Linked DNA regions of Diceros bicornis minor. The protein of the gene in region 4 interacts with the protein of the main gene of each other region in a biochemical or structural test. Links are inferred from orthologs where the notes say so. Each region holds a gene or a part of one and is shown on either strand. Other genes may lie near its edges.

Region 1 (7,254 bases), about 23 Mb from region 4:
GCTGGTGACCTTGAGCAAAGCGCTTCAGTTCTGTGGTCTCAGTTTCTCTCCTGGGAAAACGGGACTAATAAAGTGGGGGAGGCAGGAGAACTGCCCAGTTAAAAGCAGTAGTTCTGGAGTTGACCTGCGTGTCTGAAACCCTGACTCCACTGCTCATGGGTTTCGTGACCTCAACCTCTCTGCACCTCGATTTCCTCATCTGTAAAGCAGGGGGAAGAACTGTTCTTTAGAGTGGTTGTGAATATTAGATGAAATGACCCGTGTAAAGCAGCCTGCCCCTGCTTGCCATGTTGTAAGCGCTCAGCAAACAAGAACTAGTACTGCTGTTATATATGCCTGAGCCACATGGCTGTTGAGGTTAAATGAAATAATGTATGAACATCATCTGGCATGTAATAAATGTTTGCTTTAAAATAAATGCCTGCCTTATGGGAATGGTTTGTGCAAGACATATGAGGAGAAACTCCCAAGAGCACACTCCTACTCAAAGAGTGCTTGGACATACATCAGAAGATAGAGGAGTAAATGTCCTTTTATATTTTAGGATAAAACAAAGATTAAACATAAATAAGTAAATAAATGTCATTTGGTTGTGTCTGGAAGAATGAGTCAGGACTGTCTTTAGAATCAGCCTTAAAAGGGCCTTCTGAGAACTGGACCAACCCTGCTGTTTTACAGATGAGAGGCCCAGCAAGATGCAGTGACTTGCTTACGGTCACACAGCAAGCTGGGGGTGAGTGTGGAGATTTCCTGCCCACAGTTTGTGGTAGGGGCTGCAGACACTGTGCTACAAATCCCCAGTCTTGGGTGGAGGACTGGGACTGACTGGGGGGGGGGGTAGGGTGTGGTGGGGGAGAGGTGGCGGGTGTTACAAAGGTGCTAACAGCCAGGCAGGAAGCGGACAATACACTAGGAAAGCGATATGGGGGGAGGGCTATGAAGGCACGGTTGTCCCTCCCTGGGCAAGGTTCAAGTCCACAGGTAATTGGGGTGGGGTTCTGAGCAGGAAGTCTCAGAGAAAGAAGGACTGGTTCTCATCTGGGGGAGGGGAGCAGGCAGCAACAGAAGCACTTGATTTTAGGCTTTCTGAGCCTCAGTGTCCTCATCTTTGAAATGGAGCTGATTGACCCATCTCATAGGGCAGTTGGGAGGTAGAATAAGAGATGTTAAAGCACTTGGCATGCACTGCACCTGACTCATAGTAGGCCCTCAAAAAAGGCCAGCTTTCTTCCTTCCAGTCTGAGGACCCAGAGAAGAATCATCATCTGTTAAACAAGAACTGACTGTGGGCAGAGGCTGGCTCCCAGCACAGAATTGCAGATGTCAGAAGACAAAGCTCCCATAGATACCATCTTGCCCAGCCCCCCACTGAGGCAGAGCGTAGAGAACAGACTTGCCCAAGGCCACACTGCATGGCTGCAGCAGGCCAGGATTCATCTGAGGCCTCCTGGTCCTCTTACACTCTGTGGCCTCTTTTCTGCTGGAAAATTTCTTTTACTGGGTTTGTTTTGGAGGGTGGTAGGGAAGAAGGAAACAGAAAGAAAGCCAATGTTCTCCCAGCCCAGCTCTGAGGCTGTGCCTGGCCAGCCATCTGGCCAAGGTGAAGGATACACATCCCTCATGGCTTCCAGGGTGGGCGCCCGCAGAATGTCTCGGATGCCAATGACATTCTCATGGTGAAAGCGCAGCAAGATCTGGATCTCCCGCAGCGTGCGCTGGCAGTAGGTCTGATGCTCGAAGGGGCTGATTTTCTTGATGGCCACTCGAGTCTTGCGCACGTGGTCGTAAGCTGAGCTGAGAGGGCCAGAGAGATGTTGTTGGTGTGGCCTTACAAAGGAGGAGTACAGGCCCGGTGGCCCCACCCAGGCCTTGGCAGGGAGAGAAGGGAGCAAGAGAGGGTTCTGGCCAAGTCATAAACAATGCTGGTTCCTTCCTGCTGTGAAGGCCTGGGATCTCCAGGGAGAAAGCTGGGGACCAGCCAGCCAGCCCTTCAGTGACTTCACAAACAGAGGAAGAGACTGACCGACCACTGGCTTCCCCTCTCCTCAACCATTTCCATTCTAGTTGCCCTGACCCGTTATCCTCCCCTGCCCAGGATGGGCTCCCTCATCCCAAGACAGGTCCAGGGGGTGGGAGATGAGTGGAGGACATACAGTGAGGCAAATACAGTGAGAAGGAGGGAGTCACAGGAGGCACTGGAGAAAAGGGATAAGGCAGGCCTGGGTGTCAGGGCGAGGGACCTGGGCAGCAGAGCTGTTCCCAGATGAACAAATGCCCAGAGCACACAGCAGGGCTGGGACAACTCCCAGAGCCCTCCTCGAAGCTGCAGGGAGGCACTCCGGGACTGCTCATTGCTCACTGGGCCCCTGGCCCCAGGCCCAAAGCCCTGCCCCACCCTGAGCCCCGCTCTTCTCTCCCAAACTCCTTGGCAGGCCTCACTGGGGGAACCAAGGCATCTTCTCCCCAAAGAAGGGTCCTTCACTCCTTCTTCACTAAGGATATTACCTCCCCAAGAATACTTACTCTCTTCGCCTCACCCCGTGTCTATAGGGTGCCCAAGGTCCCCACAGCTCCCGCACATATACGTACTCAGATGGCCCTCCTTCATTCTAGAATAGTGGGTTCAAAGCCCCCAGGCCCTCTCTCCTTCGAATACACTGCGCCCCCTCCCCCCGAAAGCACTCAGAAGCCATCGCCCCGGGACGCTCTCCAGCCCCCTGGAGCCCCTGCCTCTTCGGGACGCTCGGAGTCTCCACGGCCCAGAGAGCACTCAGCACCCCTCCCTGCCCCCTCCCGCGGGGCCCCCTCCCCCGGAACGCCCCCTCACCTGACCATGCCGTACGCGCCCTCGCCGATGTACTGCAGCTGCGTGTAGCGCGGGCCCACGTCGAACGGCTGCCCCTTCACTACCTCCACTTCCCCCGGGACCCCCGGGCCGACCCCATCAGCTCCCCGGGGCTCCCCGCCCCCGCCCCCCTGAGCCGCCGCCGCCGCCGCCATCTCCACTCCTCCCCTCCCGCCCGCCCGCCGCCCCCCCGGCGGCCCCGCCCGAGGCCCCGCCCCTTCCCGCCCGCCCTGTCACCGCGGAGCCGCGCGCGCCGGGCCCCGCCCCGCCCGCCCCCGCGCGCCCCCGCGCCCGTCACGTGGGCCCTGCGCGCCCGGCTTTCCCGCCGCTGGTGCTGTGGTTCATGGTACCCGGCGGCTCCGGCTCTTCCATTTAAGCTAGAAGCTCCCAGGGCCGCCTTGAGATTGTCCAGACCCTCCCCTAGAATGCAGAACAGCCAGTAGGGCCGCTGGGTGACCTTACCCAGAGCCACCCAGCAAGCGAGTGCTAGGACCGGGGCGCCTGGCCCCGCCCAAGGAGCAGCCCCGGGCTCGAGATGGAACCTTAAGGGAACCCTCACCTCTGATGCTCAGTGATCCTATCCGTATTTCACAGTAGCTGTGGGAGAGGGCTTCCTCACAGGTGTGGCCTGTGATGAGGAAGATGAGGCCCGAGCCGGCGCTGGTGACTTGGGAGTCACTCAGACAGCTGAGAGCTGGAGAACCCAGCCTAATGGCTTTCGGACAGAGACCTGCGGGAGTGCGCTAGGGACCTGGCCTCTGCCAGCAACCGAGCCGTGCATGTACCCCGGGAGTACCCCGAAGACAGATAACCCCACCCTACCTTTACATGGAAAGCGGGGGAGAGGCGAGAGAGCTGCATGCCAAGTTGACTGGCTTTGGTTAAAATACAGTATCAGGCTTTTCTCAAAAAGAGCAAAATAGGTTGTGGTTTTGTTGTGGTTAGATTTGACAAAACTGGAATCCTGTCAAGATCATCATCTTTTGATTCTGTACTAGACTTTATAGTTTACACAATACTTTGATCTTCAGTTTCTTCCTTAGGACAGCCCGTCAATATAGGTGTCCTCTGGTTTTCCTAGCTGGATGAGCAGGGCCCATGTCTGTTTTGTTCATTACTGTATCTTCCAGTGCCTGGCACCCAGACACTCAAAAATTTTGAATGAATCAAGTTTTATGGATGGGGAGTCAGAGTTGGGGACTCGAACTTGGGTAAGATCACTGTAATAATGACAGAGATGAGACTCAAAATGATATCTCCTGACACAGAGGCAGAGGGCTCTTTTTAATTCCATTGTCTCAGAATTATAGACTTTTAAAACTGAAGAAAGGGCCCTCAGAGACCATCCAGTCCATCCCCCTTACCTCACAGTGAAGATGTGAGCTGGAAGCTTCACAAAAACACATTTCCTAGGCTTCAGTAAGCAATCATGTTGTTTTTTTCTCCCTGAGAAGCTGGGAGTAGGTCCTTATAGACATTACAGATCAAGAGACAAAATGGAACAGTAATTATGATTCTGAAATTGCTCATAATTAGATCTATGGCCAGGCACTCTAATTCAGATTAATGAGACTGAGTTGCTGGTTCCCAATAGCCCATAAGTCAGTGAAGGTTGAAGAGGTGCTAATTAGATCAGTGTTGTTTTTTTTAGTTATTCATTTGGTAAGCTCCTGAATGGCACTGAGTGCAAAGCTCTGAGCTAGGCACTGTGGTTAATGAAAGATTACTATATAGTGTGAAATAATGGTTAACAGCAAGAGCTCTCTGGGCCAGATTGCCTGGGTTAGACTCCCATTTTTGCCGCTTACTTGCTGTGTTACCCTGGTCAGGTTACCCACTGGCCTCTCTACTCATGGAATTTCTAATCTATTGAAGAGAAAAGATGCACATACATAAATCAATTTCATACAAGATAGATGGATGTATTATATGGCATGTGAGCTCAGGGGTGGGTTAGATCACTCTAAAGAGTGAGGAGGGAGTAATGGAGGAGATGGATTTGTGTGGTTGAAAAAGAAGTAGGGTTTCAGAAGGTCAGGATAGAGGAAAGGCATCGAGAAGAAGGAACAGAATGAGCAGCAAGGAGACAGATTGAGGAAGGCCTTGGATTCTGGCGAGGAGTTTGGATGTTACTCAGTAAGCAGTACAAACCTTTGAGGGACTTTTGCCAGATCATTTTGCAACTGTGGCAGAGTATAGTGACTCAGAGAAAACACCCTGGAGTTCAGCATGGAGCCAGGTTTCCTGAGTGGGAGTGAGTTTCCCGGCATAGGAAAGGCTGGTGTATCCGGCGGGGTGCCTGCTGCCTCAGGCTGTAGCTGTCTCATCAAAGGAGTGTGACTGAGATTCCCCTCTAGTGGCTGAGATTGGTAATTCCATGGAGATTGGACTCGGATTTCCTAGTCCGCTTCATAGATTCATAAGCAACTAATGTAGACTGAACATCTGTTCTGTGCCAGGCGCTTTTATGTACTTTATCTCCTATCATCCTCGCAGCAGCTGTATGAAGTAGATACCATGAACATTTAACAGAAAACAACAACAAAAAAAGCAGAAGCTTGCTGCACTGTGGGGTTGGAAGGAGGTCTAGGAATCATTTTCTCCATCAGTTCATTACCTCACAGCTCACTGCATTGTTAGAGTTTTTCTGATGATAGAGTTTTTCCCATTTCTATTTGGCTTAGCTCCAGCCTCTGGATCTATCTAGACTAAGTTTTAAGCCAGTTCTTACCTGTGACGTCAAGTTCACAAGAGAGGCCAGTGGGTAATAACACAAGCGAGTAACAATTTGAAGGGTACAAATGAACATTCCCATTTCGACTAACTCAACTAGCCAGCAGAAACTGAGAAGGCAGCAAATGTGCAGGAATAGGGGTCAGAACATGTTTAATAATTTATTAAGATTTAAGCTGACCTTTTTTTAAAATCCAAAATACCTCTCTTACACGTTTCTCGTAACACTTCTTCATATGTTGGAGAAGAGCTCTGCGCAAACATCTCTCCTCTGGTGTAAGCATTCTTCAGCTGATCCCTCCTCTGAAATCTCTGTGGTTAGCTCTGCCTGCCCCCACTGGGCTCCTTCCCTGGGCTGTCCTTCTCACGCCTCTTTCTCTACAGCATCTCCCTTAGTCACTTCATCACATTCCTGTGGTGTCACCTTTTTCCTTTATGTAAAATCTCCATCCTTAGCCATTGCCTTTCTCCCTAGTTCCGGTTCCAAGGTTTCAGTGTTTGCTGGACAGCTTCACTTGGAGGCTAGCTGCTACATCAAATCAGCATGCCCGATGAAAGTCTTCCTTTTCATTCCCAAACCTGTTTCTCTTCCAGACTCGACTTGCTTCAGGACTGCCACCATTCTTGCAGGGTTGAACCCTGTTATTTTCTCATTTTTCCATTTCTCTCCAGATCTAGGCAACTTCTTGTCATCTTATTAACATATTTCCCAAACCCATCCCCTCTCCTATTCATCAAACCCAAATTTCATGTTTTTATTTTTTTTTTTACTTTTTAAATAATTTCAGAACTTACCAAAACGTTGCAGAAATAGTTCAAAGAATTTCTGTATGCCTTTCATCAACACCCCCTAAATGTTAACATTTTAAAGAAACACAGTACATTATTAAAATCAAGACAGTAACGTTAATAGAGTTAATCTATAGACCTTTTTCAAATTTTGCCTATTTTCCCATTAATCTCCATTTTCTGGTTCAGGATCCAATTCAAGGTCAATTGTTGCATTTAGTTGTTATGACTCCTTCATTTCCTTTGATCTAGTCTTTTTGTTGTTGTTTTTCATGACCTTGATACTTTTGAAGATTACCGGCCAGGTCAGTTATTTTATAGAAGGTTCCTCAGTTTGGGTTTGTCTGACGTTGCCTTGAGATTCCTCATCTCACTTTGCTATTGTATTATGCTATTACTATTGTACTGACTAGTCACCTTTCCTTCAGTCTTTTTCCTCCTCAGAGATGCCTAAAACAGCTCTGATGAGGTTTGTATTAAGCAGGAATCTTTCAGTAATGAGCGGTCAATGACGCAACTCAAACCAAGTTAAACCAGAAAGGAAATTTATTGGCTCACTTACTGAAAAGTTTAGAAGTAGATGTTAAGGCACACTTGGTTCCAGGGACTCAAACGATGTTATCAGGACTTTGGTCCCATCTCTGAGCTCTGCTTTCTTCTGAATTGGTTCCATTCTCAGGTGGTTCCTCTCATGGTGGCAAGATGGCTCACAGCAGTTCTAGATTCATGCCTGATTTTTTTCTGGTAACTCCATCAGGGAGTAAAGCTCATCTCTTCCTGTCTCTCTGTCTCCCTGTAACTGAAGCCCCAGATTTGACTCCCACTCATTATTGATTCTGTTTGGAGCCTGTGCAAATCCCTGAACCAATCAATGGGGGACTTGGGAT
Region 2 (6,669 bases), on a different chromosome or scaffold from region 4:
GCCCAGATGGTCGCTTTCCGCTGGATCTTGGTTCCCGACCGCCCGTGTGTGGATTAGAGAACAAGTGTCCCCTCTCCCTCGGCCTCCTCATCCCTGCTCCCAACCTGGCGGCTGGCTGAGGAAGCGGCTTTTTCCAGGGCGTATTTAAAGAGGACTAACACTGCATCCCGCGGGCAGGGGGCCCTGAATCAAAGGGATGGGGGATCAGAGCCGTGAGCCCTTCCTCCCCCGCACCCCAGGCGCGAGAGAGGATCATCCGGACCGCTGGGGAGATCCGAGGCCAAGGCTGTTCAAGGTTTATTTGGTTTTCTTCTCGGCCATGGGAGGGGGCCAGTAGGGGAGGCGCCGGCCTCAGCAGTTCCACTCGGTTGTCAAAAGACAAACCGGGTCTGTGTTCTCCGGGTTGGCTGGTGGGTCTTGCCAGTTCCTTGGCCGGTGAGTCCGCGATGAAGGAATCGAGCCGAGCTTTCTGGAAACTGTGGGTGTCTGCAAGTGAGTGTGGATCCCACCCCCCATTCCCGATCGTTTCAAGCAAAATCGACACAAATATGCTTTGGGAAAAAATTGGGAGTAGGAGTGGAGATCAATCATTAGGAAACCAAACCATTGTTATTTCAGTTCCTGCCGGACCCCTCACACCAGCTTAACCCGACCGCTTTCCCAGAAGGGGGTGGCGAGGGCGGGGTGCGCGCCTCTGCCGCGGCGTTTGAATATTGGCCCCTGTCTCACGGGTTACTGATTAGCTCGGGCTTTCAAGCCACAGGAGGAAGCTCTGGCCGCTCTTTTCAAGGTGCTGTGGCCCCGGTTCCTGGGCGGGGGCTCCAGGAAATTGCCTGCGGTGCCAGGCAAGCCGAGGTGTTACTAGGATCTGGCCCGGAGCTGGAGGAGCTGCGGAGGTCGAGGGGCCCGGCGGTGCTGGGGGCAAATGCGGCGGCGTCTGCCCCCGAGCCTTCGGCGCCTCCTGAGTCTGGGCCGCAGAAGCAGCCCTTTCAGCTTTTCGGCAGCGAGAGTGACTTTCTGGCGGCTTGAAAGCCCGGCCCAGTGCGGGAGGTCCCCAGGGAGCGCGCCCCGAAAGTCTTGGGCCCCTCGGAGATTTTTTTCTTGTGGTCAATCCGAAGGACAGGTAGGGAGGGGAAGGCGGCTGGTAGAAAGGGTTGAAATACTTCAGGGCTCTTAGGGTGCCCGTGGACCTGGGGGAGGGAACCGGGAGAGGAAGCCGCGCCACCGGCCACTCCCCCCTCAAGATCAGAGACTATGCCATTCATTTGCATAATGGAAATGAGGTCTTTGTGAGGAGCTTTGGACCGGACAATTTCAAGCCAATGTCCCACCTAAACAGCTCCCAAAGGTTGGGAGCAGCCACACTGCTCCCTCTGGGAATATTATGTTCCCCAAACCCAGAGAATCACAGAGTCCAGGCGAAGAATTAGGTTGAGATGTTTTAATTTGCCCCACCCCAGCCAGAGTTGGGAGTGAGGAAGGGGAAGTTGCCCTTAACCCAAAGAGCTGGGGGTGGGGGGAGCTTTGTAGCTGGGAGGAAATGGGACGCCTGGAAAATGTCTCAATCCCTCTCCCCTCCATAAACATACAGGGAGAGATCCCTCCTTGAGGTTAGCCGAACAGGAGAGTTCCACTCCTGAGCTGATACAACTTGGACATTTCCCTGGGAGCTGCGATGTGTGTACATCACAGGACCGCAGACCCGAAGTACAGAAAATTACAATTATAAATCCTGCCTGTGGGGTTTCTGTACAATCCTTCTCTTGTGTACTCAAGACTCAGCACACATTTATATCCACCTCTCCATACACACTTCCTCATTGAGGCAGGGAGAGAGCCCCCAGACCGACAGACGGCTGTGCCTGCTGTGTATTTACATATTCCCCCCTGGAGACAGACAGACGGCAGTGGACCGAACCACAGACAGATTCGTAGAGATCTGGCTCCAGAAACCAGGCGGCCTCTGTCCGGGCCCCGCCTGCTTGCTCTTTCTCCCAAACAAACGGATCAGACGAATAAACGCTCATAAATACCTCTGGGCTTAGATAAGAGCGATGAGGCGCTATTTCCTTTCATGCCGGACTCCAGGCGCCCAGGCCCTGCCTTTTCGGCTCTGTCTTAAGACAGGCAACCTGCAGAGGTGAGGTTAATTTGGTGTGGTGACTCTAAGGATAAGGTGAGTATTTTTGTGCTTCTATCACAGAGGAAGGCTCCCTCCCTCACCGCATCTTACTTCATCTAGACTCCACAGCAAAGCCCACAGGGTCCAGTCCTAGGATGGGGACACTGTGGCCAGGGAGGAGGCAAGGAGGGCTGAGGCCCGAGGCTCATCCTCAGTGGCAGAGAGAAGGGAGGTGCACATAGGCACTCTCCCCACCTTACTCCCCTGCCCAAATATTCCCCATTCCTCTCTAGGAGTGAGCCCAATCTGTTAGATTGGAGCATTTATGATTTTCCATCATTAGGAGTCTCGAGGTTTATTTTCCTAAATCTTGATTAAAACCCCCCATAGAATCAGGCTAGGAAGCGGTCGATGGGATATCCAGGGATCGCCACCTGGCCATGAAGTTGCAGCCTAGAAGTTGTCCTGAGTTCAGCGAGCCTTGTAGGCCACTTTGCAAGTTTCCACCCTTGGTCACCAGTCTCAGCTCTCCACCACTTTCCCTAGTGTCTTGTGCTGTGTTCAGTGGACAGAGGTGGCCCACAAAAAGGAGCCCAAAGACAGAGAGTCAGCCTAACCCTTTCATCATCAGACTTTGTCCCACACCCTGGACCATTCCTGGCTCCAAGTCCGAAGGTTGTCACTCTTTACTGCCTGGCCTCAACGTGCATATGAGAATGTTGAATACACATTGTAGGTCAGTCTTCCAGCCAGGCTTCAATACTCCATTTCCTTAGATGAGAGAGAGTGAGTGCTGGAGAGAGAGCTCCAGAGACATACACTCTCACACCCAAGCTTGTACCGAAGCAAAGCTGGTGATACAAACAAGGGGTGTGGGAGGGATTGTAGAGATGCTGAGAGACAGCCAGAAGGGTGGTGAGCATCTGGAGAGGGGATGCAGGCTGATAGGGGATGCTGCCTGCTGAGTCCCCAGGAGGACCCAAACATCCCTCCCTCCTTATAAGACTAAACCAACATCAAATCGTGGAAAATTAATTCTAAAAACTGCCAGCTTCTGGAGAGATCTGGAAAAGGAGTGCGAACACCTCTCTTTTCGGTGGTCTCTCATTGCCTCAAATATCAGGAGGGTTTGAGGACCCCAAATTGGAGGAACAATTTCTTCCCTGGACCCACTTACTGAGACAACCTTGATTTCTGTGAATCTGTAGCCCAGGATACTCATGTCTTTTGGGGTAGGAGGCAGGGGTCGAGTGGGGGTTGCAGACAGGATAGGGATGAGACAAACCTAGGCTGGGGGATGCCCCTCACTCCTCCTTTCCATATCCCCCAGTGAGGAGACAGTTAGTCCCTTTCCCCAGTGCCCCTTCCCGTGCCAGGAGCAAGCGGTACATACTAGAGCCAGGCAGGGTGTCTCGGGCAGCGGCAGCCTTAGTCTTCCAGGAAGCTCCTAGCCTAGCTGCAGAGCCAGAGGGAGAAGCTGGGGCTCAGACCTTCTTTCCATTTCCCGGCCTTGGGTCCTCTGGGCAGCAGGCTCTGGCCTGCCCCTCAGACCCTAAGAGTTGTGGAGAAGCAGGAATAATAAACCCCGGCTTGGAGGAGACAGAGCAGGTCTGACAATCAAGAAAAACGGTTTTCAAAACCTGAGAAAGAGTGTTTCTTCTTTGGCTTTCTCTTTCTGAAAACGATGCCAATTAGCGGAGAACTCTTCTTCCCTCTACCAACACAAAACCGGAGAAATAAACCTTCTCCTTTAGTCCTCTCTTAATGAGACTGAGATTCGAGATTCGGTGACATTTACTCACCCTTCCCTTGAGGGAATGGGGCTCAAGCAACGCAGGGGTTAACTTTTCTGAAAACACAATTAACTTTTTCCTATCCTGCGTGGGGAGGGGAGGGATATATTTATTTAATCACTGGGGGATGGGGTGGTCTCCATCCAAATGCTTCCTCCTCCCTCAAAGGCACAGACGCCTCTTTCGCAGATCCTACGTAGGTGGAACAGGAAGCGTCGTGTTGTTGGGGAGAGAGAGAAAGGAGAAGGAGAAGAAGGAGGAAAAAAAAGGTTGATAGGTTTGTGCGCGGGTCCCTCGTGCGGGCTGCGCTCCTCCTGGGTGCTATTTGACAATTCCTGCCTCTGCCATTGGTCAGTGTTGGATCAGATGGTTGTATTTCCTTCTGGCCCTCACTGGCACCTCGCCATCCCCCCTCAGCTAAAACCCAATCTCAGATATACTACTAATAGGCGCGGCGCTCGGACTATAAAACACAACAAATCATAAACCCGGCGGAGCAGCAGCGGCCGTGCGCGCCTCCCCTCCCAATGAGTTCCTATTTCGTGAACTCCACCTTCCCCGTCACTCTGGCCAGCGGGCAGGAGTCCTTCCTGGGCCAGCTACCGCTCTACTCGTCGGGCTATGCGGACCCGCTGAGGCACTACCCTGCGCCCTACGGGCCCGGGCCCGGCCAGGACAAGGGCTTTGCCGCTTCCTCCTATTACCCGCCGGCTGGCGGCGGCTACGGCCGAGCGGCGCCCTGCGACTACGGGCCGGCGCCGGCCTTCTACCGCGAGAAGGAGTCGGCCTGCGCGCTCTCAGGCGCCGACGAGCCGCCCCCGTTCCACCCCGAGCCGCGGAAGTCCGACTGTGCGCAGGACAAGAGCGTGTTCGGCGAGACCGAGGAGCAGAAGTGCTCCACTCCGGTCTACCCGTGGATGCAGCGGATGAATTCGTGCAACAGTGAGTGAGACTTCCCGCCGTCGCCCAGACCCCCGCGGGTCTCCACCTCCGGGAGACAGGGCTAGGGATGTCCCCCGCCCCCCTTCTCCCCCAGGGTGCTGGGTGGGCATCTCAGTTAGGAGCCAAGCGAAGACTGGGTGCCTGCACAGGGTCTCCTGCTCTGTCCTCTCGCCTTCAGGAGTTACAAAGTTTGCAAAGTCCCAGCTGCACTCGGAGCCAGGGGGAGCGAGTGGGCTCTCTGGGAGCGTCAGACCAGAGCGGGATTCCGGGTCAGGGAAGGGGGCAGGGGCTGCCGTCACGGGCTTGGCTTTCCCTTGCGCCCCCAGCCCTAGTCGGGTCCCCCACCCAAAGACTGTTCCATTAAAACCGGAGTGCTTCATGGGAAGGGGGCGGCGTGACGCTGGCGAGAGAGAGTTGAGTCTGTCCCGGACTGTGTTTCCCTGGGGGTCGGGGGCTGGGGAAAGATGAGGCACCAGGAAAAGGGTGGTAGTCAGAGGAGGGAGGCAGAATAAGGGGAAGAAAGAGAGAGGGAGCAGGCGGAGGGGGAGAGAGGAAGCAGCAGGCGCCTGAGTCTCAAGTTGGATTATTTGTCGGCCTTAAGTCCCAAATTGATGTCCATTAGAGGGACACCAAAGTGAAGAGCCGTTAATGCCGACTACGGATCGATCCACGTCATTACGGATTAAGGGCCGGAATCTATCACAGGGTAGTGGGGGAGCCAGATGGATGGGAAAAAAGGATGCGGCTAGGAAGAGACACACCTGGCCAGTACTTCCCCAGCCCCTCCCCCAGGCTCAGGTGGGATTTTAAACTGCTCCTCCCATCCCCCCATCGAGAGTCTAGACTGGATGCGCAGGCCTAGGAGACCCGGAGGGAATCTGGAGGGGGCGCTGGAGGAGTGAGGACGGGGGGCAGGGAACCAGACAGTGGAGGGCATCCCGAGACAGGCTAGCGTCCGTGTTTGAGGGTTGAGTGGGGGTGGGGGGCTCTGGCCCTGGTGACCCCAGGCCTCAGCATCTCCTCTCTGCGTAACAGGTTCCTCCTTTGGGCCCAGCGGCCGGCGTGGCCGCCAGACCTACACGCGCTACCAGACGCTGGAGCTGGAGAAAGAGTTTCACTACAATCGCTACCTGACGCGGCGGCGGCGCATCGAGATCGCGCACGCCCTGTGCCTGACTGAGCGGCAGATCAAGATCTGGTTCCAGAACCGGCGCATGAAGTGGAAAAAGGAGAGCAAACTGCTCAGCGCATCTCAGCTCAGTGCCGAGGAGGAGGAAGAAAAACCAGCCGAGTGAAGGCGCTGGAAAGGGAGGGGGGACGCGAAAGGGAGAGGCCTGTGGGGAGCCGAGGGCATCGGAGAGCCCGGAGAAGGCTCTGCGGGTGGGGGAGCCCGGGGACCTGCTCTCCAGCGCATGTCAGGCGGGGCCCAGCGCTCTCCTGGACGCCCCCGCCCGCAGAGCTCTCGCTGGGGGCTGGGAGGCGGTGCGCCTGAGCCCACCCAGCACCCGGCTCACCCCCTCCATCCCCGCGGAACCCGCCTCCGCCCGATCAGACTCCCCGTGAGAACTGAGGACCGAACTCACTTGATGTTTTCTGGAAGCAGAGCAAAATACTCTTGTCCGTGTCGCGTCTCATTTCGTCCATGTACCCCGTGCACGGTTCAATGGTAGATTCACAGTCCCCTCAGCGGGGGCCTCGAAGACTCCCTGACCCCAGACCTCTCTCCCACCCCCTCCCCAAAGCCACTGGAAGGAGCACATACTACCTAGAAGTAAGAAGAGGAGCCTCAGAAGAAAACAAAGTTCTATTTTA
Region 3 (7,877 bases), about 2.5 Mb from region 4:
CTGCAATGGGAAACGTACCTCTGCCTCCCGAATCACTGACCACTAGGGCAAGCCTTCACACAGAGCCTCACCACGCCACCGCCTGTTGCCCACGCGCTGGGGCACATGTTAACTCATCTAATTAACCAGCCACGGACAACGTATGTTGATTTCCAGCTACAAAAGGGTAGGGATTTGGTGCCCCGCCCCGCCTGAGGTTTGCTGAACTGCGTCAGGACAGTCTGGCAGTAGCACATTAAACCAGCTTGGCCTTTTCTCCCTGCTGCCTTCTCTGGGGGCTTATGTGCACCCTCCCTCCAGGCTGCAGATGCAGCCATGAGCTGGGTGGGAAGTTCTAACAGACAACAGGCAGGCTGGTAACAGGTCAGGGCAAACAAAACCCTCCGAGTGGTGAAGTTCTAGACGGTGGTGCTTTTACACATCCGTCCCTATCTAGGCTGGTACATTAAGGGCCCAGGAGCTTCCCAGTGGGTTAGAGCTGGGATCTGGGACTAGCCTGTTCCATGCCCCTCGCACCCCCGGGGCTAGAAACAGACTCAAATCCATAGCCAGCCACAGGGATCAAAGGCCCTGGAGCCGCCCCACGTGGAGCAGAGTGTGACATAACCAACACCCCAGGAGGCCTGAGCTCTTTGAAGAGGACTTCAGATTTCTGCTGGAACGTGGCCACAGCAGACTGACTTTCAAAGACTTCAGTCTACTTACATTTTGGTGGTGAGGATGGATAATCGTCTTTGAAAAGCATCCGCAGTTTAAACAACCCTCCTTCCCATGGAGTCTGTTGGGAAATAAGACTGCGATTAAATGTGCTGCCGGCCAGGCCCAGGAGGAGGGGCTTGCTTTTGCTGCACACCCCCTAGGACCACGAGGACCCCAGAGAGAGGGGAGCAGCCCAACTGTTCCACAAACAGGACTGTCAGGACCTCCATGAGCCCTTAGACTGAGTCGGAAAGAGCTCTCCTTGGAGCGGGGCAGGGCAGCAGCCGGGCTTCTGAGAAGGCAGGGCCCCTGGCGGGCTGGCTCCTCCCACCCCGGGACAGGGTGAGGACTTGAGGGAACTCTACTGCGTACCCCTTCCCCTAGAGGGGCATTCTGAGAGGCCCCTCCCTCAGGTCCCACCTGTCCCTGGGCAGCCTCCCAGCGCCACCATCCACTACCCCTTTCCAACCTCCCCCAGGAGGGAGACGGCCGCAGCACACCTGCCTTGCCCTAAGATGAGGGGCCAGGAATGGTCTCGGCAAACGCTGGGTGCGTGCTGGGCGCTCAACAACCTCAGACGAAGGATAAACCCAAACCACGTCACCTCACGGACAAAGCCGAGTCCTAATCCACCGGCTTAGTGCAGGGGGTGGGGACACTATCAGGAAGCACTGAGGCTGAGCTCTCGTGATCTCACAACAGACCACGGGTGGGAGGAAATGGAGGTGATGACGCCTCCAGCATAACCCAGACACCTCGGGGGCCTCCTCCTCCGGAGTCACCCAGGCAGAACTATACGCAAGGTCATCAGAGACCCTCACTCCCAAATGCTTCAAGCGTGCGGGTCCTAACTGGGCCGGGTGCACTCAGGGGAGCCGAGGAGGCAGCCCCACAGGGAGGACTGGCCAGTGTGTGAAGGACATGCAGGGGCCCACGCAGCCCTCTCCAGTGGCTGATGCCTGGCCTCTGCATCACAGGATCTGCAGCTGCCCCAGGCTCAGAGACGCCCCAGAAGGAGCATCACTATGTCTGGGCAGCTGCAGCCCCAGCAGGTCCGGCAGGACAAGCCCGAAGGCCCTCGGGCTCCTCCAGACCAGTCTCCATCCCACCTCCAAGGCTCCTTCTGCTCCCGAGATGCAGCTGGTGGGGCACCTCCCCACACGTGAGGGGTTACATGTCACCCTACCCTCGTTCGTTCCCCATCTCACATCCCCCCGGGGCTCGCATGAGCATCAGGAATGTCACATGCACTCAAACACAAGTCCTTCTGAAGGACTTCTGTCCCTCTGTCCTGCTGCTAGAAGCCGACAAGTGGCAGAGGACATGAGCCACGGGCCTCTTACCCCTTTCTTTCCTGGAATGGCACACTCCCAGTTCATGAGGTTCATCGTGCCGTCGGGGTTTTTTGTCGGGACAGCCACAAAACCCTGGGAGAAAACACCACACAAGCACATCAGCCACGCCGCCTCACTCTACGCGCACACGGACAAGCCTGCGGCCCCACCGCCTGCCAGCGCGGAGGCAACGGCCCCCGTCCGGGAGGCCCCTTCGGGCAGGCCCCGTCCACTGCGTTGCACACAGAAATAAAGCTTTCCTTACAAATGGGTGGTCTTTTCTCCAAGCTTTCCTCTCTTGGGCGAGTCTGCTGAGGGCGATCCCCGACATATTCAAAGTCCCTGGAAGAGATGGGCAGAGGGTGCGATTAGGAAAGGCAAACCTGCTTCCCTGTCTCTTCACCTGACAACTGGCCCCACCCGCCCCCGGCAGCCAGGGAAGCAGCAGCTGGCCGCTCCCAAGACCCAGGCCTCCTGGAACACCTCCATGTGGGGCACCTTCCCTGTGTACATCTCACCTCCAGGGCTCCACGGCACACGCCGTGGACTCCATTTCATGGTGACACAGAGGTTCAGAGAGGTGAAGCCACACAGCTGCTAGGTGCTGCGGGGGAGGGGACACTGGGCACTCCCAACAGACACCTGCACACCTGTCCTGCCCTCTTCAGTCACATGCGGCAGTGGGCCAGAGTAACAGGGATTACAATTCCACCATCAGACTCCGCAGAAACAGCAGGGACAAGGTAGGGGTGTCCAGAGCACTAGCCCGAGACCCAGGAGGGGCAGTGATGGCGTGCTCGCCTCTGCCTGTACAGGGATGTGGGGGCGCTGTCAGGCCCCCAGCTCAGAATCAGGGGCTCAGAATTCAGATTTGGGCGCAGCCAGGAGAATAACCCTTATTCTTGAAAGGCAATGCAGCGGAAATGTGCCAGTGGGGCAGAGAGCAGTTCAACTGAGTTATGGACAAGTACAGAGATGGCACACCTGCCCACCAGCATCCAAGAGACTCCCCTTGTCACCAGGGCCCCAGGCTCCTTCCTCTTCTCCCTCCACTCTCACATCCTACAGCCCCACCTAGGACCTGCTGGCGCCCCACAAACAACGAACAGATCAAGGCCTGTCTCCCATTTACTTTGGGGAAGTCAACGCAAGGGGGAGCCAGCTAGCAGGGAGCACAAGGCGGAAGGGGAGACACCTCAGCAGGCAGGCCCACCCGCCCCCGCCAGTGCACCGTGTGGAGGGGGCTCCCCCCATCACGCCCCGAGCCCCTCGACTACAGACCCTGGAGGCTCAGCGCCTTCAGCCGTTCAAATCAGCAGCCCAGAAGCCCTCAGCCTGCACTGTCTCATGCTTCCCGCAGGTAAAGCAGCATCTCAGGGCGCTGGATAGCCAGCAAGGCACAGCAGACCTTCAGAGGTCACAAAGCTTGCCCAAGAACCTGACCCTGTGTTTGCTGATCTCCCAAGTCCGTGGAAACATTGAAGACACCCGCTGCATCGCCCCCTGCCCCCGACTCCCCCTCCTGTGATTACTCATGCGGCCTCCCCACTGCGGCGCAGGCTGACCCACAACTGCCTCAGCAATCCAAATCGCACCATTCTCCCCGCCATCCCCCACCTGGCTGCCCGGCCCTGGGCCCCAGACAACTCAAACAGCCCCTGTTTGTGCAGGAGGGGTCAAGTCAACAGGTCAGCAGCAGGCCAGACGGGCCACGCCTTGCTACCCTGCAGTACAGCCCCTTCTGAGTGTGGCCCTGGGCGGGGGCATCACCTGGATGCTTGTAAGAAATGCACATGCCCGATGCCCCCCCCACCCCGAGTCAGGAACTCGGGGCTGCCAGCGCTCTGGGTTCTGGGCAGCTCCCGAGAAGTCAGCAAAGTGGAAGGAGGGGGTCTGGGATCGCCATTGCCGTGCCACCCAGGAGCCCAAGTCTCAGGAAGTGGGGCGAGTTACCACAAACCGCCAGACCAACCAGACGTGGTGCGCTTTCAAGAAACATGCATGCTTATGTCATCATAAGGAAAAGTGACGGTCAAAAATCAAAGCCCTCCAGTCAGGAAGCACAGCTGCCGGGGCCACACGTGACAGACGCACCCACTGGGGGCACGGCCTCCAGCTCCACACTGTGACCCCACAACGCGCCTTTACAAAGACTCTGATCTTACCTGACCTCAAGATTAAGTATGAAATAGATAACATCAAGCTTGCACCCAATAGAATTTCTCTTCACCGCCACTCGATCCCAGGGTTCTAGTCTGCCCACCTCCCATGCGGTATGTGACTGGGCTGCCCAAAGCTCACGCCCACCCGGGGTCTCCTTCCCTGGACAGCACGTCTCCATCTGGAATAGTCACTCCTTCCCGCTACGTAAAATCGGGGCCAGCAGCTGAGAACAAGACGCGCATTGCTGCCCTGGGGGCTCACACAAGAGGAAGTCTTGTCCTGGGAAACACCAGGTGCCCGAGGTCCACAGCAGGACCACAGGGATGGGGAGGCACGCACCCTGGTTTCAAATGGTGGCCAGGTAGGCTACTCAAGCCCAGCCTGCAGAGATCAGGCAGGAGACTGTTCCAGGCAGGATGGTCAGGAACAGAAGGGCCCCGTGGGCCAGAGGCAGGGCCAGGGGGTTCAGGACGCCTGGACATTGACCGTGAGGGCCTGGTGAGCCACTGTGAGGACCTGGGCTTGCACAGGGAGGTGGGGAGCTTGCAAGGACCGGGGCAGAGGAGAGCGCCAGCTAGCTCCTGTCTTTAAGGCTCTCTCTGGGCAGAAGTGCGCAGTGATGACTAGCCGCGAGGCCAGGAGGCTGGGGCAGTAACCTGGATGTCTGAAAATCCTTCATTTCCACAAGTTTCTCAAACCCTTCACTTCAACTGGTTCTTCTAAATGAAATGACCCAACTCCACCCCCATCCCCAGCTTGAGAGCACAGCACACACTAGCCTCCAAAGTCCTCCAGTCCCCTGCCCCCAGCCTCCCCCACCGAAAGGGCACACACAGAATGGCCTCTCACCCCCAGCCAGGGTAAAGCAGACAGCACAGGCTGGCAGGCTGCTTCTGCTGCATTAATGAACACAGAAGTTCAGTAACCAAGACAAGCAGTTGTCGAAATGAGATGTAAGGACCCCCCCGCCCCCCAGTCTGAGCTGGGCTGGCATCACCAAGACGGGTTCTGTCAGCAGGACAAAGAGCCACAGGTGCACACCTGCACAGTCCCAGGCAGAGGACTGGTCCCAAGATGCTTCCACTCCCACTCACCTCCTGGTGTACAGGAGACAGCAGACAATTTGTTACATTTTAATTACAATACAGAACAACTCATTCAGAATCCCACTTGAAATGGAAACTCCTTCCCCAACTAACAGAGGCACTTAAGAAGCAGTTGAGTGTTCCTAGATGCTTCAGAGCAGCAAAGTTATAAGATACAAAGATAAGACATCCCCTAACTACTAGAGTTCTTCAGGCAGAGCACTGGAGTCTGCCCTCCACCTTCCTCCAGGGCCTGGCAGAGGGGTGTACTTGAACTTGCTCTTGTCAGATCATGCTCTACTAACTGACAGAACGGACCTCAGAGCTACTTACTGCATGAATATGGCAAGGTGCTCATCTTCCCCAGCCTCAACTTTCTCATCTGTAAAACGGGTGCTAGACTATGACCTCACAGGTTTGCCCAGGGTGACACTGATAATGGATTTCACGCTCCAGCCGGGCCTTTCCCACCCAAATGCAAACTCCGCAAGGGAGATTCCAGCAGAAGGCTTTCACTTCACCTGGCCCCAAGCACCTCGCACTCAGGAGACCTCCCGTCCAAGCTGCACATCTCTTGTTCTTTCCCAACATAATTCCCAGGACCCTGGGCTGTTTCTGAAGCAAAGTCACAAACCACAAGACTCACCGGGCAAAAGCACAACAGCATGCAGAATTCACCCCTAAACCACCCAAAAGGCGGAAAACAAATCAGGACAAACTTAGGATCCATGTCCTTTTTCTGTCGGATAGGTTCTCAACCCAAAGGCTGTGTTTCCTCAATAGCAAGAAACATTTATGGCCACAGTCTTTAAAAGGAAACAAACAAAAAGCCAACTTTGCAAACACAGTAACAATATCTTCCCAAACTGAGAAACAAAGCATATTTTCAAATTATACAAACCGAACCGGCTAATACTGTGATTCCGGGGCGACTACAGGCCGCGATCGCGAGCCCAGCTAATCATCCCCTTCCTCCCTCCTACTCACGTAACTACCAGTTCCAACCTCCGCTCAATCGGTACAAAGCAACCTCCGAAAGAAAACTCTCCCTGAAGCGAAGCGCCCATGTTCAGTGTCCCACCAACTGCAGGTGGAGCTCTTTAGAGGCGCAAGAAAACTCAGGCTTGTTTTGATTTTCAGACATCAAACCCCCACCCCCCCACGAGCCAGCGATTTTGCAACCCAAGACTTTCAAGTACCGGGGCCGCGCGCTGTCCCCTGGCTGCAGAGCGCCACAGGTCTGCGCGCAGTCCCGTGACCCCGGAAAACAGTCTCCCCGTGGAGGCTCCGCGGCGCGGTAGCCGCCCTCCAGCCCAGCGCCTGTCAACAGCGGCCGCGGCGCTCTGCGCTCCGGGACGCGACCGGGAGCCCCTCGGGGCCGCCGCCCAGCACGCGCTCTCCCGCCTTCAAAAGGGAAAGTGATGGGAATCCGGGGACGGGACGCGAGCCAGGCCAGGCGCGGGGGGACGCGGTCCGCCGAGGCCGCAGGCTCGGGCCTCCCTGCTCCGGCCGGCCGACTCCCGGGCGCGGCGCCGCGGGCCTGCCGGGCGGGGCGGGGCGGGGGTCCAGGCGCGCGGCGACGGCGAGTCGGGGCCGCAAGGCCGGGGGCGGAGGGGGCGCCCTCCCGGCTGGGCCCGACGGCAGCAGAGGGCCCGTGCCCGCCTGCCGCCGCCGCCCCCCGGCCGTGCTCACCTCGGGCGGCCGCGGCCCGGCAAGCGAGGCGGACGAGGCGACAGCGGCGGCGCTCCCTTTGTCTCGGGACTTCCCTCCCGAGCCCGCTCCGCGCGCAGCCCGAGCGCTCCGAGGACCCCGCGCGGGCGGGGCGCGGGCGGGGCCTACGGGGGCTGCCCGCTGTGCGCCTGCCCCGCGCGCCGCCGCCGCCGCCCCGAGCCCCCGCGCTGCCCGCCCCGCTGCGCGCCGCCCGCTGCCCGCGCCCCGCCGCAGCGCGCCCGCGCCCCGGGCTCCGCCGGGGAGCCCGGCCCGGGGAAGGCTTTCCAGTCAGGCGGCGCCCCAGACACCTGCTCCCTTAAAGGAGCCGCGTCCCCGATGTGAGGGAGTGTCTGCAAACTCCCCTTCGTGACGCGCGCGTCCACTCGAGGACACGCCGGCGAGCCGCGCGGGAAAGGGAAGGCCGAGATCCCCAAGGGCTCCCCGGATGCCCCGCGGGCACCTCTCCGGGCACGGGGCCCGGGGATCTCCTGGGGGCTAGGGCCCAGGGCCGGGGTGCAAAGACCACTGAGGCCTAAGGACCCTCCGCAGCGTCGCAGGACGGTGACGATCCCCCGAGTACGACGCCCTGTGAAACCCCTTGCAATTGGCTAGTTCGGGGCCCTGGGCGGGGCGTCCGTCGAATTCGCCCAATGAGCTGACCCCGCACAGAAGGCCGAGTGCCGGCCCGACCGACGGGAGGAGAAGTGTGGACGCTCCCTAACCCGGGGCTGGCCGGGGGGGAGGGGCGCCGGGGTTGAGGGCGGGGGAGGGGAGCTGGGATGGGGGTGGGCTGCCGGGACCCCCTGCCCCCGCAGTCAGGACCTGCGATCCACCCCGAGCCCGTGTGCGGACGCTGCCCCTTCCCGGCCTCCTCCGGCACCTTCCC
Region 4 (7,151 bases):
TTAGAACATCTCATCACCCCAAATAGAAACCCTATATCCTTTGGCTACCATCCACTATCTCCACCCCCGTCACCCCTCCCGCCCCGGCAACCACTCATCTGGTTTCTGTCTCTGTGGATTTGCCTCTTCTGGACATTTTCTAGAAATGGAATCACACAATATGTGGTCTTGGATGGCTGTTTTCCTTCAGTGAGCATCACATTTTTAAGGTTCATCCATGTCATAGCATGTACTTCATTCCTTGTATGGCTGAATAATATTCCATTGTGTGGATATAACACGTCTATCCATTCATCAGCTGATGGATTCAAATGGACTTCTCTCAGGAAATCTTTCCTGATTTATCTCCACCTCTTGCTCCTCTGCTGGTCCCTCCTCGCCTCATTCTCTCGGCCCCCGAGCATTCTGTAAATGGGGATTCATTGATCTGAGACTAGAGACTAGAAAGAGCAGGCAGCCTTAGGTTTGCAACCCAGGTGAGCCTCTTAGTGACTGAGCGACTTGCCCTCCTCTGGGCCTCATTTCCTCATCTATAAAATGAGGACAATATTTCCTTCCAGGATTGTGGGAAATGCAGATCCAAGTGTGGCAGAGTGTCCTGGCACACAGAAGGCACTCAACAGTGCCAGGTCCCTTTCATCTGTTTTGACCCTGATCCTCAGCTAAGAGTGTGCGGGCAGGAATCATCCTTCCTTTCTTGCTATTCCCCCATCAATGTCTGAGCACAGCGTTCTTGGATGAGAGTCACACCAAGGGGAGAAGAAACAGGAAAGAAAAAGCAGATATCAGGAAATACCAGCAGAACTGATCAAAATGATACAAATGAGACAGAAAAGGGACAGCAGAGCAGGTATGTTTTAGGGTTGAGCAGGAAGAACATGAGGTTTCGAGTTTGTAGACCTGTGTTTCAGGCCTGGCCCTGACATGTCCAGGTCATTTACCTCTGAGTCATTGGGACTGGGTCTCCTCAGTTTCTCCCTTTGTAAAAGTGGACATGACATGTGCCATAGCTGCCCACTGATGGGGGATGGTGTGAGCTCATGTGCACATGGCTGTGTAAACCATTTACCGAGGGACCCCGAGGGCCAGGTGGTGACCCAAGGCAGGCTTCGGTGACCTGACACATCGTCCTCTCTGTGGGAGTGGCATGGAGCTGCCTTAGGCTGGAACTCACCCTTCTCAGTGACCTGGAGGCCTCTAGGACTTAGGGAGACCTGACATTGTTCATTCACTCATTGATTCATCAAATTTTACAAACCTACTTCTTTTTTTGTTGTGAGGAGGACTAGCCCTGAGCTAACATCCGATGCCAATCTTCCCCTTTTTTCTTGAGGAAGATTGGCCCTGAGCTAACATCTGTGCCCATCTTCCTCTACTTTATATGGGACGCCGCCACAGCATGGCCCGACAAGTGGTGCGTTGGTGCGCGCCCGGGATCCGAACCTGTGAACCCCAGGCAGCGGAAGTGGAGCGTGCGCTCCCAACCACTTGCGCTCCCAACTGCTTGCGCCAACAGGCTGGCCCCAAACCTACTTCTTGAGGGGCACTGTACTATGTCTAAGATATGGCCCTTGCCCTCAAGGGGCCCACAGACTGGTGGTGACAGGGACACACACGGCACATTCAGATACAAGGTGCTGCCAGCCCTGTGTTACTCTATGACTTGATACATTTCCCGCCTTCCTGTGCAAACTGGCTTCTTGAATACTTCTGTTTATGATTTCCAGGGCTTGCCATTTGGCCTCCTTGAATATACAGGGATTTCTTTCTTTATTCTTTGCCCTCAGGAGATTCTCAAGGGATATTTGATGGATAAATAAAAACATGAATGGATTGAAAAAAAAGTGACAAAGTGTGAGGTGTGCCCTCACAGAGGTCTGTCCAGAATGCTGTGGGAGTCCTGAAGTGGGCTAGGAGGGCTTCCTGCAGTAGGTGACATTTGAACTGGGTCCTGGAGGATGAGTCAGAGTTTTCCAGGCATATGTATTCTCAGTACAGGGAACAGCATTTGCAAAAGCATAAAAAGGCCTGAATGATAAGAACTTCCCAGTGGCTGAGTGGTTGTGGAGGAGTGATGGTGGAGTGAGGGATGGAAAGTGGAAGAGACAGATGCTGGGAAGGAGGGGTGGGCAGTACAAGATTTTGAACAATATAGATAAATACAAAAAAGTAGAAAGATCACTCAGTCTTGACACTTGAAGACAATCACTCTTTTGGTATATAAACAGACTATACATATGGTTTTTTTTTTTAAACAGACTATATATATATAGTCTTTTTTTCCCCATGTGTAGGAGCTATTTGTTTTAAACAGAGTTCTTTCTCTCTTTTTCCAGGAAGTTAACTCTGGTGCTGCATGGGGAGAAACGTGGAGCGCAAGGGACACTGAAGTTGGAAGCTGCCACCGTAGCCACCCGGGCGATGCCGGACGACTCGGGTGTAGTGGGATGGGGAGGAAGGGCCGTTTCCCAGGTAGAGGACGTGGGGAGCCTGGGTGCGAGGTGATGGAGGGAGGGAGGAGTCCGCACTCCCGTACAGGTTTCTTGCTTAGGAACCGGGTTGCTGGTGATACCTTTCAGATAAGGACTTAGGGATGAAGCTCCGGCACGCTTTGAGGAGCAGATAACAAGCTGAGATGTGAACATCTTAGAGTTTTGTGGAACCGTCTTGCGGGGAGTGGCCATGCGAGCCGATCTCCCCGGGACCCACACCTGTCTGGGGCACCTGCGGGGGGCGGAGCAGGAGCGCGCGCAGGCCAGCGAGGCCCTCCGCGCTGACGTAAGGGGCCCTCTAGGCCCGGCGCAGGTGACCGCGCCCCAGCCCGGGGGGCAGCGCTCGCCCCTTCCCCTTGCAGGAGAGGGTGTCGGGCCTGGGGGCCCCATCGCATGGGGCTGGTGAACAGGGGCTCAGGAGTCCTGCGTCCCCTACACTTCACTTGAGGGGGAGTATTCGAATCCCGGCCCTGCCACTTCCTGCCTCAGTTTCCCCATCTCCACACGCTCGCAGGCGGACCCGAGGGCGGTCTGTGACCTGCAGAGGACACGACACGTCGCTGGCCTCCGGCGAGGGGAAGTGGCCAGGCCGGGCCCGGGTCGCCTCCGACGTCGCTAGCAGGGACATGAGGAGCTGGGACCGGGCAGAGTCGCCCCCGAGGGACGGGGGGGCCCAGCCGGCACCGACTCCGCGCCTGGAGCCCGGCCCCCGGCCAGGCCGCCGCCCATGGCCCTCGCCGGGCCCCGCAGCCCAGTCGCCGTCAGAACAAAAGTGACGGCCGGGTTGGGCGCTCAGGGTCTCGCAGGCCGGGCTACCGCCCGGCCGCCCCACGCACAGCGGTCGCGCCTTCGGCCCTTTCCGCCCGAGCGCGCTCGGCTCTTTCCGCCGCGGCCGGCGCAGGTGGAGGGGGCGGGGCGGGGGCCGTGCGTGGTGACGCCGCGGGGGGGTGACGCACCGGCGTGCCCCGCCCCCTCCCCCTCCCCGTTCAGGCTCTGGAAAGAGAAGAAAAAAAACTTTCTTTTTTTTTTAATTGAGGAATCAACAGCCGCCATCTTGTCGCGGACCCGACCGGGGCTTCGAGCGCGATCTACTCGGCCCCGCCGGTCCCGGGCCCCACAACCGCCCGCGCACCCCGCTCCGCCCGGCCGGCCCGCTCCGCCCGGCCCTCGGCGCCCGCTCCGGCGGCCCCGCTCGCCTCTCGGCTCGGCCTCCCGGAGCCGCGGCGGCGGCGGCGGCGGCGGCGGCGGCAGCGGCGGCGGCGGAACGGGGGGTGGGGGGGCCGCGGCGGCGGCGCCCCCGCTTCGCGCATTGTTTTTCCTCGCGGCGGCGGCGGCGGCGGCGGCGGCGGGCCGCGGGCGGGGAGCGGAGCCCGGAGCCCCCGGGTCGTCGGGCCGCGAGCGAATTAATTAAGTGGGGCGCGGGGGGGGAGCGAGGCGGCGGCGCGGCGGCGGCACCATGTTCCCGGGAACTGCCTGAGCCGCCCGGCCGGGCGCCGTCGCTGCCAGCCGGGCCCGGGGCGGCGGCCGGGCCGCCAGGGCGCCCCCGCCGCGGAGTGTCGCGCTCGGGAGGCGGGCAGGGGATGAGGGGGCCGCGGCCGGCGGCGGCGGCGGCGGCGGCGGCCGGGGGCGGGCGGTGAGCGCTGCGGGGCGCTGTTGCTGTGGCTGAGATTTGGCCGCCGCCTCCCCCACCCGGCCCTGCGCCCTCCCTCTCCCTCGGCGCTCGCTGGCTCGCGGCTCGCGGCTCCAGGCTCGCGCTCGCTGCTCTCCCCTCGCAGCCGGCCGGGGCCGGCGCCGACCCCCGCCCCGGAGCCTCGCCGGCCCCGCCGCCCGCGCTCGGGGCTGTTTTCGCGAGCAGGTGAAAATGGCCGAGAACTTGCTGGACGGACCGCCCAACCCCAAACGAGCCAAACTCAGCTCGCCCGGCTTCTCGGCGAATGACAGCACAGGTGAGGAGGAGGCCGGGCGGGGGGCAGGGGCCCCGGGGGTCGCTGTCGGCCCCCCGGGAGGGGAGTGCCTGCGGAGACCCGAACTCGGCGGCGGGCGTGCGGAACCCCCGAAGCGGAGGCCGGCGCAGCCCCTTCCCGGGACCCCCGCCTGAGAGGGGGAAGTTTGCGGGGAGACTGTCGTGGGGCCCGAGTGGGGCGGCACATGCCCGGTGCACTCGGATTTCTTGGAGAGCCTCGCGGGGAGACCGAGTGGTACTTGCAGGGAGAAAAGTAAAGTGGAGCGTGGCGATTCCATCCGCCTCCTTCTGCCGCCGTGTGTCGACACACGCGTGGCCGGGCGTCTGGAGGGATGACAGCGGAGGGTACGTTTGATGGTTAGAGACAGAAAGTGCAGCCGAAAGGGGACCCGAAGGGTTTTCTGAATTGGTAACACATCCACTACGCGGCGGCCAGAAGACACTCAGAGCAGCAGCCCGCCTGTGAGTTACGACTTAGAAGTTTCTTGGAATGTTCTCCTTGGAAAAATGCTTAGTAGCTAATTGAAAGGCTCTTGTTGTTTGGTCACCTAAGTCATGCCATTTTTCACCACCCCAAACTTTGTTAGCAAGATGTCATAAGAGTGGCTGTAGTGTGTGTAATTTCACGTGTATAACTTGAAAAGAAAGTTAAATAGATTCGTTTGGGTTGCAGTCGCCGTTTGAGCTCCTGTTGCTTTTACAGTGTAGGTGTACAAAAAATTATGTTAAGGAATGTAGTGATTACGAGTTTTCAAAAAAAAATTTAGCAGGATAGTGAATGTCATCCTTTTCTTCATTAAACAGTTTCCCTGAAAACTTTCTTAGGTAATCATATCAGTTGCCTAAGAGAAATATTTTAGTTTTCTATTCATTTAGTAATTCTGGCTTCTTCTGGGCTGGTTCATGGTAGCATTATGAACAAGTTGTATTTCCTCTTTTAGAGCTCTCCTTTGCAGTAAAAACTTGTGCGCTGCTGCGAACAATTCGGTCTCCAGCGCAGCTTGCATTTCTTCAGTACAGTCTTGTAGTAGCAGCATCTGAAAATTTAATGAATGGGCCCAAATTGAATTATATTCCTGCAGCAGTGCCTTCAGATTTGTAGTAGACACAGCTGTTCAGCTCGTGCAAATATTTGTATGACTGACCACTAGCGTACTCCTATGAGTAGTCTAAAAATGTTTCTACTGTTGAAACAAAACTTGAATTTTTTGACTTAAGTTTTAATACAGTTCCTTGAATATTAATGTAGAAGTGAGAGAAACTTTTTTTTTTACAAATCGATCATAAAGAGATTCTTGTCTAGTTAAAATAAAGTTTGTTAAACGGGGGAGGAGTAAATAAAGCTCATGATATATGAAAGTCACTAATACTCTTTTTTTGAAAACTAATGGAGTTGAGTTTGTTAATTTGGTAAAATCAACTTATCTGAAGTGAGAAATATGGAAACAACCATGATGTAAATGTCCTCTTACTGCAGAACAGATCTCCATTGCTTCGTTAATCTTGCCATGTTTGAGTGAAAAGTCTTTAATCAAATGAAACATAGATCATACCAGGCAAGTTCAGCTTTGAAACCTGTCCTCTGAACTGGTCACTTTTGAATGGCTTTGCAGTTTGCTCTTGTTGAGTGAGGTTACTGTAGCTTTTGAAAGAGGGACAAATTAGTAACACAGACTTAACGCAAAGGCTTGTCCAGCTGTATATCCAACTGTTTCCAAGATGGAGCCCAAAGGATGGCCTTTGGGTAGTTCTGTTATTGGATGGTCAGATATTTACTTAATGTGCTGCTAATCGCAACCAAGTTTATCAGAAAGGATTTTCCACCCTTGACCATTTTTTTCCCTTCCTTTACGATTTTAACCCTCGTAAGGCATGGGGGCTCTTTTACTTTTCCAAATGTGGAACAGAAAAGTCAGTTTTTAATAGTTCTGATTTAAATAATCCAAAGAATAAAATTCACGATCATATTTATGTCCCGTACTTGATTACATGTTCATCAACAACATGAGAGGGTTATTGTGAAAGGGTCTGTTAGTGTCTGTTAGGTCTGTTAGCAAAGAAAGGATCATGGTCGAGCACATTAAATAAGGTACAGCCTTGTCTCACGTAACTACTAGTCTAAGACAGAGATCTTAAGCGTGTATATTAAGCAAATAAAGAACTAAAGGATTAAATTTCATACAGTCAAAGGAGTGAAGGCATTTGGTTGTATGGGAAGGTAAGGAAAGACCTGGGAATAAAGTTCTTAAGAGACTCAGCTTTGTTTTACTGAGGGAATGTGTGTTTGAGGCTTCGAGGAGAAAATTGGGCCAGGTGGCACAAGGTGTGTTCCCTGCTCATGTGATAAAATTTGAGGGAGGGGAGCTCCGTGCATGGGAAGAGCTGAGGGGTGAGGAGGAGGAGGCCTTGCTGGCCTGATAAACAAGAGTGACTTGGACTGCCACTATGCGGTACACATCTGTGGGGACTGGCCTGTGGAGCCATGGGTGTCATTTAGATGAGGCTAGGGAGGCTGGTAGTGGGCGGAGAGGAGAACCTGACGTTGGGGAGCTTACCAGCCAGGGTGCTGCCTACAGGGCACTTGCAGTCTAGCTGGCTGGGGGAGTGTGGATGTGCATAAAATACTCCAGTGAGACAAGGTGGCATCTCCAAGTGATAAATGCCATTGCCACCTATGACAGATGGGAGAGGTCACT

The links.
Region 1: of the proteins of CREBBP (region 4) and MAPK3, one has a biochemical effect on the other in vitro, tested with the Homo sapiens proteins (2 studies listed by BioGRID). The link is inferred for Diceros bicornis minor from reciprocal best matches to the Homo sapiens genes CREBBP and MAPK3.
Region 2: the proteins of CREBBP (region 4) and HOXB6 form a complex in vitro, tested with the Homo sapiens proteins (2 studies listed by BioGRID). The link is inferred for Diceros bicornis minor from reciprocal best matches to the Homo sapiens genes CREBBP and HOXB6.
Region 3: the proteins of CREBBP (region 4) and UBE2I form a complex in vitro, tested with the Homo sapiens proteins (2 studies listed by BioGRID, with this or other methods). The link is inferred for Diceros bicornis minor from reciprocal best matches to the Homo sapiens genes CREBBP and UBE2I.

The regions. Positions count from the first base shown.
Region 1 is NC_080765.1:21,907,663-21,914,916, forward strand, and holds the start of MAPK3 (mitogen-activated protein kinase 3), read right to left. Parts: upstream 3,001-7,254; coding exon 2,828-3,000; intron 1,795-2,827; coding exon 1,612-1,794; intron 1-1,611.
Region 2 is NC_080757.1:37,377,598-37,384,266, forward strand, and holds HOXB6 (homeobox protein Hox-B6), read left to right. Parts: upstream 1-4,442; coding exon 4,443-4,857; intron 4,858-5,892; coding exon 5,893-6,152; downstream 6,153-6,669. UniProt on the Homo sapiens protein: Sequence-specific transcription factor which is part of a developmental regulatory system that provides cells with specific positional identities on the anterior-posterior axis.
Region 3 is NC_080765.1:47,066,414-47,074,290, forward strand, and holds the start of UBE2I (SUMO-conjugating enzyme UBC9), read right to left. Parts: upstream 3,016-7,877; 5' UTR 2,592-3,015; coding exon 2,552-2,591; intron 2,376-2,551; coding exon 2,299-2,375; intron 2,127-2,298; coding exon 2,043-2,126; intron 779-2,042; coding exon 706-778; intron 1-705. UniProt on the Homo sapiens protein: Accepts the ubiquitin-like proteins SUMO1, SUMO2, SUMO3, SUMO4 and SUMO1P1/SUMO5 from the UBLE1A-UBLE1B E1 complex and catalyzes their covalent attachment to other proteins with the help of an E3 ligase such as RANBP2, CBX4 and ZNF451.
Region 4 is NC_080765.1:44,566,363-44,573,513, forward strand, and holds the start of CREBBP (CREB-binding protein), read left to right. Parts: upstream 1-4,138; 5' UTR 4,139-4,353; coding exon 4,354-4,438; intron 4,439-7,151. UniProt on the Homo sapiens protein: Acetylates histones, giving a specific tag for transcriptional activation. Mediates acetylation of histone H3 at 'Lys-18' and 'Lys-27' (H3K18ac and H3K27ac, respectively).